2 linked regions of the Canis lupus familiaris genome follow. The protein of the gene in region 1 interacts with the protein of each later gene in a biochemical or structural test. Links are inferred from orthologs where the notes say so. Each region holds a gene or a part of one and is shown in the gene's direction. Other genes may lie near its edges.

Region 1 (5,124 bases):
TGTGAATATCAGGCAAGAATTTGCAGTTGGGCAATAAACAATGAGGAGCCGTTAAGTCCTTAAGTGAGAGGATGGTATAAAGAAAATGCTGTAGGGGTGTCTGGGTGGGTCAGTTGGTTAAGGGTCCAACTCTTGATCTCAGCTCAGGTCTTGATCTCAGGGTTGTGAGTTCAAGCCCTGTGTTGGGCTGCATGCTGGGCATGGAGTCTTACTTTTAAAAAAAAATGCTGTAAAATACTATTTTGCAACAGTATTCAGTATACATTAGAAAGGCAGGTGATGAATAAATGTGGAGATGAGGTTTTAGGAGTATCCCTAGTGAGAGAAAAGCAGAGCAAGTTTAAGAAATGAGGCAAAGGAAGAATCGTGCTTGTTTTCAACTTCATGTTCTCATTTATTTCTGGTATTTTGCTTATTAACATGCTAATGTTACCACATTAATGTGAAACCAATAGAAATACCTGTAACATGATTGATGTAACTATAGTCACATTCGAAAGACACATGTAAGTGGTTTGGAGTTGAAGGAAGGAAGCCTGGGATAGATTCTGCAGGTGTTGGGGAGAAAGGGGTTAATCAGAGGGATCCCTTATGGAAATTTAGAATTGAAAAGAACTTTAACGTTATGTAGTTGCCATCTGAGGTCTTGAGTGGTGAAGGGTTTTGAACAAAAGCAGTTGGTTACAGAATTGGGACTGGGACTTAGCTCAGCTGACTTTGGGTTCAGGATGTTTTGTCCTCAGTCACAGCCCTTGGGGCGGAACAATACAGCGCGTGTTGCACAGGTGTGATTTAGGAGTCTGGGGGATCCCTGGGGGGCTCAGCGGTTCAGCACCGCCTTAGGCCCAGGGCCTGATCCTGGAGACCCAGAACGAGTCCCAGATCTCACGTCAGGCTCCCTGCAGGGAGCCTGCCTCTCTCTCTCATGAAATAATTAAAAAAAAAAAAAGTCTGCGCCCTGTCTGGGAAGCAGAGAGTACCTAAGCTGGTGCTCGACACACATTCCAGCGTGTTCTCGGGAAGCCAAGGACGAAAGCCGCCAAGGGACTTCATTTAGATGTGATTTCCCCATTTTACGCCCCGCAGCACTCGACGGTTCTCCGAAGCCGTGGACCTGGCACCACACCTCCGTGTGCCGGTCCGGGCCGCCTCCAGCCTCATCCCCGAGCAGCGGTCCCCACCCCCCTACGTCCGCGGAGCCCAGCACGGGGTCCCAAAGGCAATGGATGCCCCCAAAGTGCTAACGCAGGCCTCCGTCTGAGGCAGGGGCGCCCTGTGTCGGCAGGGAAGGCAGGTGTCCGCCTGCGTCCACGCGAGCGCCCCAGCATCCCTGGGTTGGGCGCTGGGTTCTGAGCAAAGGAGATGGTTCGGGGGAGGCCGGGGCGCCGCTGCGGGGTCTGCGGGGTCCCCGGCTCGGTCCAGGCGCGCACACTGGCTTTTCCTGCCGGGGCTGCCTCCGCCGGCGCCGGCTTCCCAGTTGCCGGGCCTGGATCGTCCGGTCCCGCCCCGCCCCGCCGCTGGGGAACGGGGGGGGGGGAGGGGGCGCCCCGCCGGGGTCCGGGCAGGTGCAGGGCGGGGTGCAGGGCGCCAGGGCCCCGCAGTGAGCGAGTCCCGGCCCGCGTGGTGGTTGAATTCGGGGCGGGGCGGGGCGGCGGCGGGGAGCCGGGCAGGCCGCGGGGGAAAGCGGCCCGAACGCCGGGTGCCCTGGGCGAGACGAGGAAACGGCTGCTTCCCGGAGAGTGCCAGAGGCGGCGGTAAAGGGAGCCGGGCTGCTAAGTGACCCATGCCGTTAGTTCAACGGTTCCCGGCCAGAAAGGAGGAGAAGGGGGAGAAAAAAAAAAAAAAAAAAAAAAAACCCACACCGAAAACAAAAACACAAGCCCACGAAGCTTCCTGTCCCTTTAAAGATGGCGGCTCCGCACCGGCCCGCTCTGCTATTGGCTGCCCGAGGGGGCGGGGCGGGGCGAGGGGCGGGGCGAGGGGCGGGCCGAGCGCCGCGGAGCCCCGCCCCCTACGGCAAGCCGGACAGAGCAAGATGGCCGCCGCCGAGGAGGGCTGTGCTGCCGGTGCCGACGCGGACCGGGAACTGGAAGAGCTCCTGGAAAGTAAGAGCTCGTGGGACGAGAGGCCCGACGCGGGCGGTCGTGAGGGCTCGCTCCGGGGCAAAGCGAGCCCCGAGGTCCTGGGGGCGGGGGAGGCTCCCGCAGGGTTGGCGGGGGCGGCGGGTCTCCTTGCGACCCCGGAGCGAGCCCCTGGGCCGCGCGGGCCGCGGTCTCCGTCCTCGGCGGCGGGTCAGACCGGCGGTGCCCGGGCCGCAGGGGGAGCGGCAGCGCGCGGGACGGCCCGACCCCAGCCCGCCTTGGCCTCGCCGCGCAGGTGCCGGGACCGAACTTCCCGCCGGCAGCGGCTTTCGGCGCCTGGGGTCGGCGGCCGCCGCTCACCTGCCCTTCGCCACGTCAGAGCCGCCCCCGCGCCCCCACTCAGGCCGCATGTTCTTTCCTGCCCGCCCCGGCCCTCCCGTCCTCGGGTGGTTGCTTGCCCACAAGGGCCCGTGTCGTGCCCGCCACCCCTCCTCCTCCCCTCCTCCCCCAGCCTGGCAGGCGGGATGGCGGTGAGGACTCAGGTGTTCAGGGCAGAGGTGAACACGTTCTGTCTCCTGCCCAGTCACAGAGACGTGGGCAGACAGAAGGACGGTCAGACACGGTGAGGAGCGCCAGGTGGCCCTGTGCATTGGCACATTCTCTGCAGGGGCGAGCCGGCTGCGGGGAACTCCGGGAGCTCCGCCCCCCTCCCCGGCAGGGCTGAGGCAGGGCTGAGTCGGAGGGTAAGAGGAGAGACCTCAGTGCCCTCCGGGGAGTCCGGTGTGCTAGCCCTCAAGTCTGTGCCACACCAGGACCCAGGGGACGCCGGGTGGAACATCATGTGGCTGCCGCTTCCTTGCCAAAAATCATTCTCTGAAGGTCTCCAGAGTGAGTCCAGGGGTTGAGGGACATGTGTGCTCTCTGCCCTTAGACGTTTATATGGGATTTCTGGGAAATCGTTACAGTGTGGCAAGGAGGCCTCTGTGTAGTGGGAGATGCGTTTGCACAACTCTTAATTCTCTCCTCCCGGCTCTGGGAGAGATGCCTCCTCTTCCACCCTAAGGGATTCCTTTTACCGTTGATCACCATAAATTGGGTGGGTAGATGAGGAGGGAGGTGGGGAAGCTGATTGAAGGGTGGGCCAGGAGAGGGAGACTCAAAAAAAAAATTTTTTTTTTAGGAAGGTTGGCACATTGATTGTTCTCCTAATGCTTTGCCCAGAACGCGCCCCCCCCCCCCCCCCCCGCACCGCAGCCTTGCATCCTCATCCACCCCCCAACACACACACTGTGTCTCTTGTCTCTGAAGGTGCTCTTGATGATTTCGATAAGGCCAAACCCTCCCCAGCACCCCCTCCTACCACCACGGCCCCTGATGCTTCAGGGGCCCAGAAGAGATCGCCAGGAGACACTGCCAAAGTATAAATTCCACCCTTTTAAGGGATGGGAGGGGATGGGCGTGCATCTCTGAGCAGACGTGGGGCAGGCCCCTGTGGGTTGGAGAGGATGGGGGGAGGAGGCCTCGGCCTTAGAGTGCTGAGCGCTCTTGCAGGCCTTAGTCCTGGTAAACAGGGACTTTCCATGATGGAGAGGTGGGTTCTCAAGGCAGTTCTTTGAAAAAAAAAAAGAGTAGGTTTACATGATTGTTTTGGGAATGCCATCCTATATATACCCTTTCCTCAGTGGCCAGATGCCTTTTTTACTGTTCTCCTTAAGAGAGGTAGTTAGAATGTCCAGTGGAGGCGGGCAGGAGGGAAGCACTGCATTTCTCAGAGCCACTGCCTGTGGCTTGTGTCAGAGGGGTGCCAAATAAGAGATGCATTTTGGCCACCCCTTCCCTGCAGGATGCCCTCTTCGCCTCCCAAGAGAAGTTTTTCCAGGAACTGTTCGACAGCGAGCTGGCTTCCCAAGCCACTGCAGAGTTCGAGAAGGCAATGAAGGAGTTGGCTGAGGAAGAGCCCCACCTGGTGGAGCAGTTCCAGAAGCTCTCAGAGGCTGCAGGGAGAGTGGGTGAGAAGGCAGCCCAGAGGGCTGGAACTCTGTGAACCAAGTCCTGACATCTGTGTTGCCTGAGAACACTAGGTCTCTTAGTAAAGCTGATAGCACTCATCATATCACTGCTTGTGGGGAGGGGCCGGGAGGTGGGAAGAGGGATGGGAACATGGTATGATGAAAGGGAGGAGGCTGAAAAGACATTGAAAAGATGACTGAAGACTGACCATTTTAAAGGTCGTAGTGTTGTGGGTGTCATCGTGGAGAATAAACTGACATGCGCAGTTCATGTAGCTTCATGAAAATGACTAGGAACCACAGAGGATTCAAGAGATTGGTGTGCTAGTGATCCACTAGTAAATGTTCTATATCTATGTCTACTATATAGAAGATCTCTATATCTTCTATATCTATATATCTATAGATATATCTATATCTACTTGATAACCAAGTCAGTCTGGGTAAGCAGACAGTTAAAATCTAAAATGGCTTTTTATTTTAAGATTATTTATTTATTCATGAGAGAGAGAGAGACAGAGACACAGGCAGAGGGAGAAGCAGGCTCCCTGCAGAGAGCCCGACGTGGGACTCGATCCCAGGACCCCGGGGTCACGCCCTGAACCAAAGGCAGATGCTCAACCGCTGAGCCACCAGGTGTCCCCTAATATGGCTTTCTTGATCTTTCTTAGGCAGTGATGCGACATCCCAACAAGAATTTACGTCTTGCCTGAAGGAGACACTAAGTGGACTTGCCAAAAATGCTACTGATCTTCAGGTGAGGGAAAGGGGTGGGGTCCACGAGGGACCCCTCAGGCATATCAGCAGCAGAGTCTCAAAAGACAGACTTTGTTGGGTAGCATCTAAAGTCTGTTCCTGCCACACTGTTTTGTTGCAAGTGTAAATCGTTTTCTCCCACCTGAAAGGGTGGTAAGCATCTCAAGAAGGCAATATACAGATCTTCCTCAACTTATAATGGGGCTACAGCCTGATAAATCCATCATAGGCTGGAAATAACATAAGTTGAAAATGCATTTAATACACCTACCCTACTG
Region 2 (4,407 bases), on another chromosome or scaffold:
TTTCACTTTCCGGATGGTTCCCTTTGGTGCCCCCGAAAGTTTTATTTATTTTTTTTTATTTATTAGAGAGAGACAGAGACAGAGAGACAGAGGGAGAAGCAGGGTCCACGCAAGGAGCCTGATGTAGGACTCAATCCCGGGTCTCCAGGATCACGCCCTGGGCTGAAGGCAGCACTAAACCACTGAGCCACCGGGGCTGCCCAAAGTTTTATTTTTTATTAATTTTTTTAAAGATTTTATTTATATATTCATGAGAGACACAGAGAGAGACAGAGAGAGGCAGAGACACAGGCAGAGGGAGAAGCAGGCTCCCTTTGGGGAGCCCGATGTGGGACTCGATCCCGGGACCCCAGGGTCACGCCCTGAGCCAAAGGCAGGTGCTCAACCAGAGACACCCAGGCGTCCCAACCCCAAAAGTTTTAATTTTGATGAAGCTCATTGATCTGTTTTTCTTTTGTTGCCTGTGCTTTTGGCATCATGTTTAAGGAGCCATATGTTAGTTTTGGGGGTGTGTGAAGCAGGGGTCATCCTTTTGCAAGTGGATACCCGGTTGTCCCAGCACCATCTGCTGGAGAGACTTTTCTTTTCCCCAGGGGGTCAGTTTTGCTTTCCCACAGTCCCCTCCTTTCCCCTGTGCCCCATAGACTCAGAGGCAGTGAAGAAGGCAGCCTTGGAGATGAGGGAGGAGGAGCTCGTGAGCGAGCGCACGGAGGCCTTCACCATTGCCCGCAACCTCCTCACAGCTGCTGCGGATGCCATCGAGCGGATCATGTCATCCTACAAGGAGGTACCCCCCAGCCCAGCACCGCCCCCTGCCATGCCTCCCACCGCTCCCCCAGCTGGCAGTGTCTGAGCCAGGTCACCATCCCCGCAGGTGACAGAGCTGGCCGGCTACACAGCCCGAGTACACGAGATGTTCCAGGTATTTGAAGATGTCCAGCACTGCCGTTTCAAGAGGCCCGGGGAGCTGGAGGACACTCAGGCAGGGCCCGGGGCTGTGGCGAGGTCTGGTGTCCACGTAGAGGGGCCCCTGCAGATCCGAGGTAAGGGCGCGCTCCCCACGGACACCCCCACCCGGAGGGCAGGATCTTTGAGCTGTGTCCCAGGGAGGGCTTCCGGGGCCTGCCGTGACCCCCGTCACCTTCTTTCCCCGAGTGGTAGCTGCTAGTCATCCCTCTCACTTGCCAGCTCCTTCCCGGTGCTCTGGCCAGAGATTTCTCTTGTTTCTCTTCGCAAAAGAGGGAGATGCAGTCCCTGAGTAGAAGGGATCACTCTCCCATGTGGGCAGCAAGCGAAAGTTCGAGACTACAGCAGGGGCCGGGTACTGTGGAAGAGGGGCCCAAACGTCAAAGCTGCCATTAAAATAGTGCCAGGAGCAGAGGGTTTTACAGAGCAAAGGTGGACTCCGTGCCTCAGGTTCCAGAAGCCAGAGAAGTGACATTGCCCCTCCCCTGTCCAGAGGAGAGCACCACATGCTGGTTGGGGGCAGGCTTCCGGAAGACCCATATTCCCAAGGGTCCCCGGACCACACACTGGCATGCCGTTAGCGGTGGAGTGGCACGTGGAACCCACCAGAAGGCAGAGGGAGTGCTGCTGCTCCCTCTATTCCTTCATTGCGTTCTCTCTCCAGGCCAAGTGGTAGATGTGGAACAGGGAATTATCTGTGAGAACATCCCCATCATCACGCCCACGGGAGAGGTGGTGGTGGCCAGCCTCAATATCAGGGTAGGTCAAGTGGGGGACGGGGTGGGGGGTCGCCTGACCCAGGAGTGCTGGCCTGGCTGGGCTCAGCTATGGGGCCCTGGGCCTAACCTTCTGTAGCTGCAAGCCCCAACCCTCGGTGTCTGGCTTATTGGGCCTGGATGTGTTGTCATTACCCAGATCTACTTGGCTAGTGGGCTAAGGTCAAGGTGAGATGCCAACGTGTCTCTGACTGTTGATTCTATCGCAGCAGAGTCATAAAAGTGACTAGCGACTACTAGGAGGAGCCAAGGGGCACCCAGGGGCTCCTGGCCCTGGCCCTATGTTGCCATCCCCCCCCCCCCGCCCCCATCCCCGAGAAGCCCAGGACTTGGGCGCTCTGCTTCAACTGTAACTATGGTGAAATAGATTCCTCCAGTGACCTGGGCTTAGGGTCCCCTCCGTCTGCTTTAAGGAGCCTCCAGCGTGGGTGTGTGCTGGGTACAGCCTGGCCCGGCGGGAGGGCTCCCAGCCACTGCAGAGGCTGTCTGCAGAAAGGAAGCCCCGGAGGCCAACACCCACCAGTCTCCGGCGTCCCTAGTTGAAGCTTCCGACACGGTCGGGGCCTGATAGAAGGAGAGGCCTGGGGTTGGGGCGGTCCGTGTAAGCAGTGAGAGGGAATCGTTCCTTCCTTCCTGGGCTGGGCACTGGGAAGCAGACGTAAGTTGGACGGGCACTGCCTTCAGGGAGGCCCCACGCCGGGTCCCCTAAAGTAGTGCCAAGGTCCCAGTGAGCTGCGCGGGATCCCGTGGGGGCCGCGGGAAGGATGGTCCTATCCCCGAGGTGAGCAGAGGTCACAGGAAGCTGCACGGGGGCTCGGGGAGGTGGGCAGCATGAGGAAGAAGGCCTCCCCCAGAGGCAGGCAGTGGTGGCAGGAGCGGGGAGCCGAGGGGCCGCAGCTGGGTGGCCTGGAGCCGGGGCCCGGCGGGGAGGACCTGGGGAGAGGCGAGTGGAGGGTCAGCGGCTGCTGGGGCCAGTGGGGGCTCCTTGCCCTGGTCTGCCGAGAGGGGCCCCGAGAGCCGCTTGGAGGCTGGGCACGTTCCGTTACCCTGAGCGGCACAGGACGGTGGCGTGATCCCCGTCGCCCCTGGCCGTGCTCACTCTTGGGGTGTGACAGGGAGCCACCAATGGCTGGTTTATCCAAGGCAAACGATTTCCCTGCAGGCCCAGCGGCAGCCAAGTAGGCAAAGACCAGGGGCCCTGGCTCTCCAGGGTGCAGCTGGTTAGGGAGCAAGGCCAGGTGAGGAGGGGTGTCTGGACGGAGGAGCCGGGGTGCGGGGCGAGGCGGAAGCTGGGCTCGGGGGCTGGGAGATGCCGGGAACAGACGGGAGCAGTTCCCGGTCATGATGGGCCAGGCCGTGGGGCAGGTCGGCGGAGGAGGGAGAGGCCCGGGGAAGAGGACCAGGGAGGCCGCCGGGGCGCCACGGTGGGGGGGGAGCCAGGCCTGAGGCACTGGCCCTTGCGCATCCACCATGGAGGAGGGGGGCCCAGCACCCCCCCCCGCCCCAGGGCATTTATAATTTGACAAAGGATCACAAAGTGATGGGCTCGGACAGCAGAAGCGCTTCGCTCCCAGTCTGCTCCCGGCCGCTCCCAGTCCGGGTGCCATACTGGCCATCAGTGGTGTTCCCAGAAGCCTCACCTTGGTCTCGGCCTCCTCGTCACGTGGCCTGCTCCCCGTGTGCACGTCTCCGTGTCCAAAAGTCCCCTTTTGCTAAGGACACCGGTGACAGCGGATGAGGGGCCCACCCCACTCCAGGATGAGCTCATCTAAATTTAACTGACTGCATTTGCAAGGACTCTTTTTCCGAATAAGGTCACGTTCTGAGGTCTCGGGGGTTAGGACCATAACACACGCGTCTGGGGGCGATCCCGCTCAATCCACAACACTGCCACTCGGACCTGGCGAGGGGGGGAGCTGTGGCCTCAGTGCCCTGCCGCCTGACCCCTTCCTTCCTGCACACTCCGCCCAAGCTCGGCTGGCCTTTCTCCTACGGGAGGCATCTCCCTAAGGCCAGTGGGCACCGTGTAGTGGGCTAACTGGAGAGCCCGAGGCCCTTCACGCTGAGCGCAGGGGTCACAGCGGCCTCCGGCCAGCGCCCTAGCACCCGCGGGGGCAGTGAGAGGCCCAGGGGGAAGGGGGACTAGCCAGGCATTAGGAACAGAGTGGGGGGTTATCACTGTCCACCCAGAACTCGAAAGAAAGCCCCTGGCCCGGGCCCGGGCCTCCCGGGAGAGCAAGTCTGCCTGGGAAGCCAAGACACTGGGAGTCCTGGTGAGCTGGGACGGCGGGCAAGAGGGTGCCGCTGACCTCCTGGGGCCTTCCTCACGCTGGCCCCCTGCTCTCTGGTGCATGGCAGGGGCTTAGGGATCAGGCCCGGACCCCAAACAGGCGTCTGGCTAGGGCTCTGGCTGCCACACCTCATCCTTCATGCCCTGCTGTCCGACACCAAGACCCCGAGAATGGCCTGCCTACCAGCCTGGGCACGGCCCCGGATGGGGGCCCCGGGGGAGGGGACGGAGGCCCGTGCAGCCCCCTCCCCCCCCGCCAGGTACCAGCACCGCTGCCTCCGCAGGTGGAAGAAGGCATGCACCTGCTCATCACCGGCCCCAACGGCTGCGGCAAGAGTTCTCTGTTCCGGATCCTCGGCGGTCTCTGGCCCACTT

The links.
Region 2: the proteins of PEX19 (region 1) and ABCD1 form a complex in vitro, tested with the Homo sapiens proteins (3 studies listed by BioGRID and IntAct, with this or other methods). The link is inferred for Canis lupus familiaris from reciprocal best matches to the Homo sapiens genes PEX19 and ABCD1.

The regions. Positions count from the first base shown.
Region 1 is NC_049259.1:22,764,345-22,769,468, forward strand, and holds the start of PEX19 (peroxisomal biogenesis factor 19), read left to right. Parts: upstream 1-1,979; 5' UTR 1,980-2,035; coding exon 2,036-2,105; intron 2,106-2,664; exon of another isoform or gene 2,665-2,920; coding exon of another isoform or gene 2,921-2,969; intron 2,970-3,389; coding exon 3,390-3,499; intron 3,500-3,924; coding exon 3,925-4,090; intron 4,091-4,761; coding exon 4,762-4,847; intron 4,848-5,124. UniProt on the Homo sapiens protein: Necessary for early peroxisomal biogenesis. Acts both as a cytosolic chaperone and as an import receptor for peroxisomal membrane proteins (PMPs).
Region 2 is NC_049260.1:122,743,217-122,747,623, forward strand, and holds part of ABCD1 (ATP-binding cassette sub-family D member 1), read left to right. Parts: intron 1-644; coding exon 645-787; intron 788-874; coding exon 875-1,043; intron 1,044-1,630; coding exon 1,631-1,725; intron 1,726-4,316; coding exon 4,317-4,407. UniProt on the Homo sapiens protein: ATP-dependent transporter of the ATP-binding cassette (ABC) family involved in the transport of very long chain fatty acid (VLCFA)-CoA from the cytosol to the peroxisome lumen.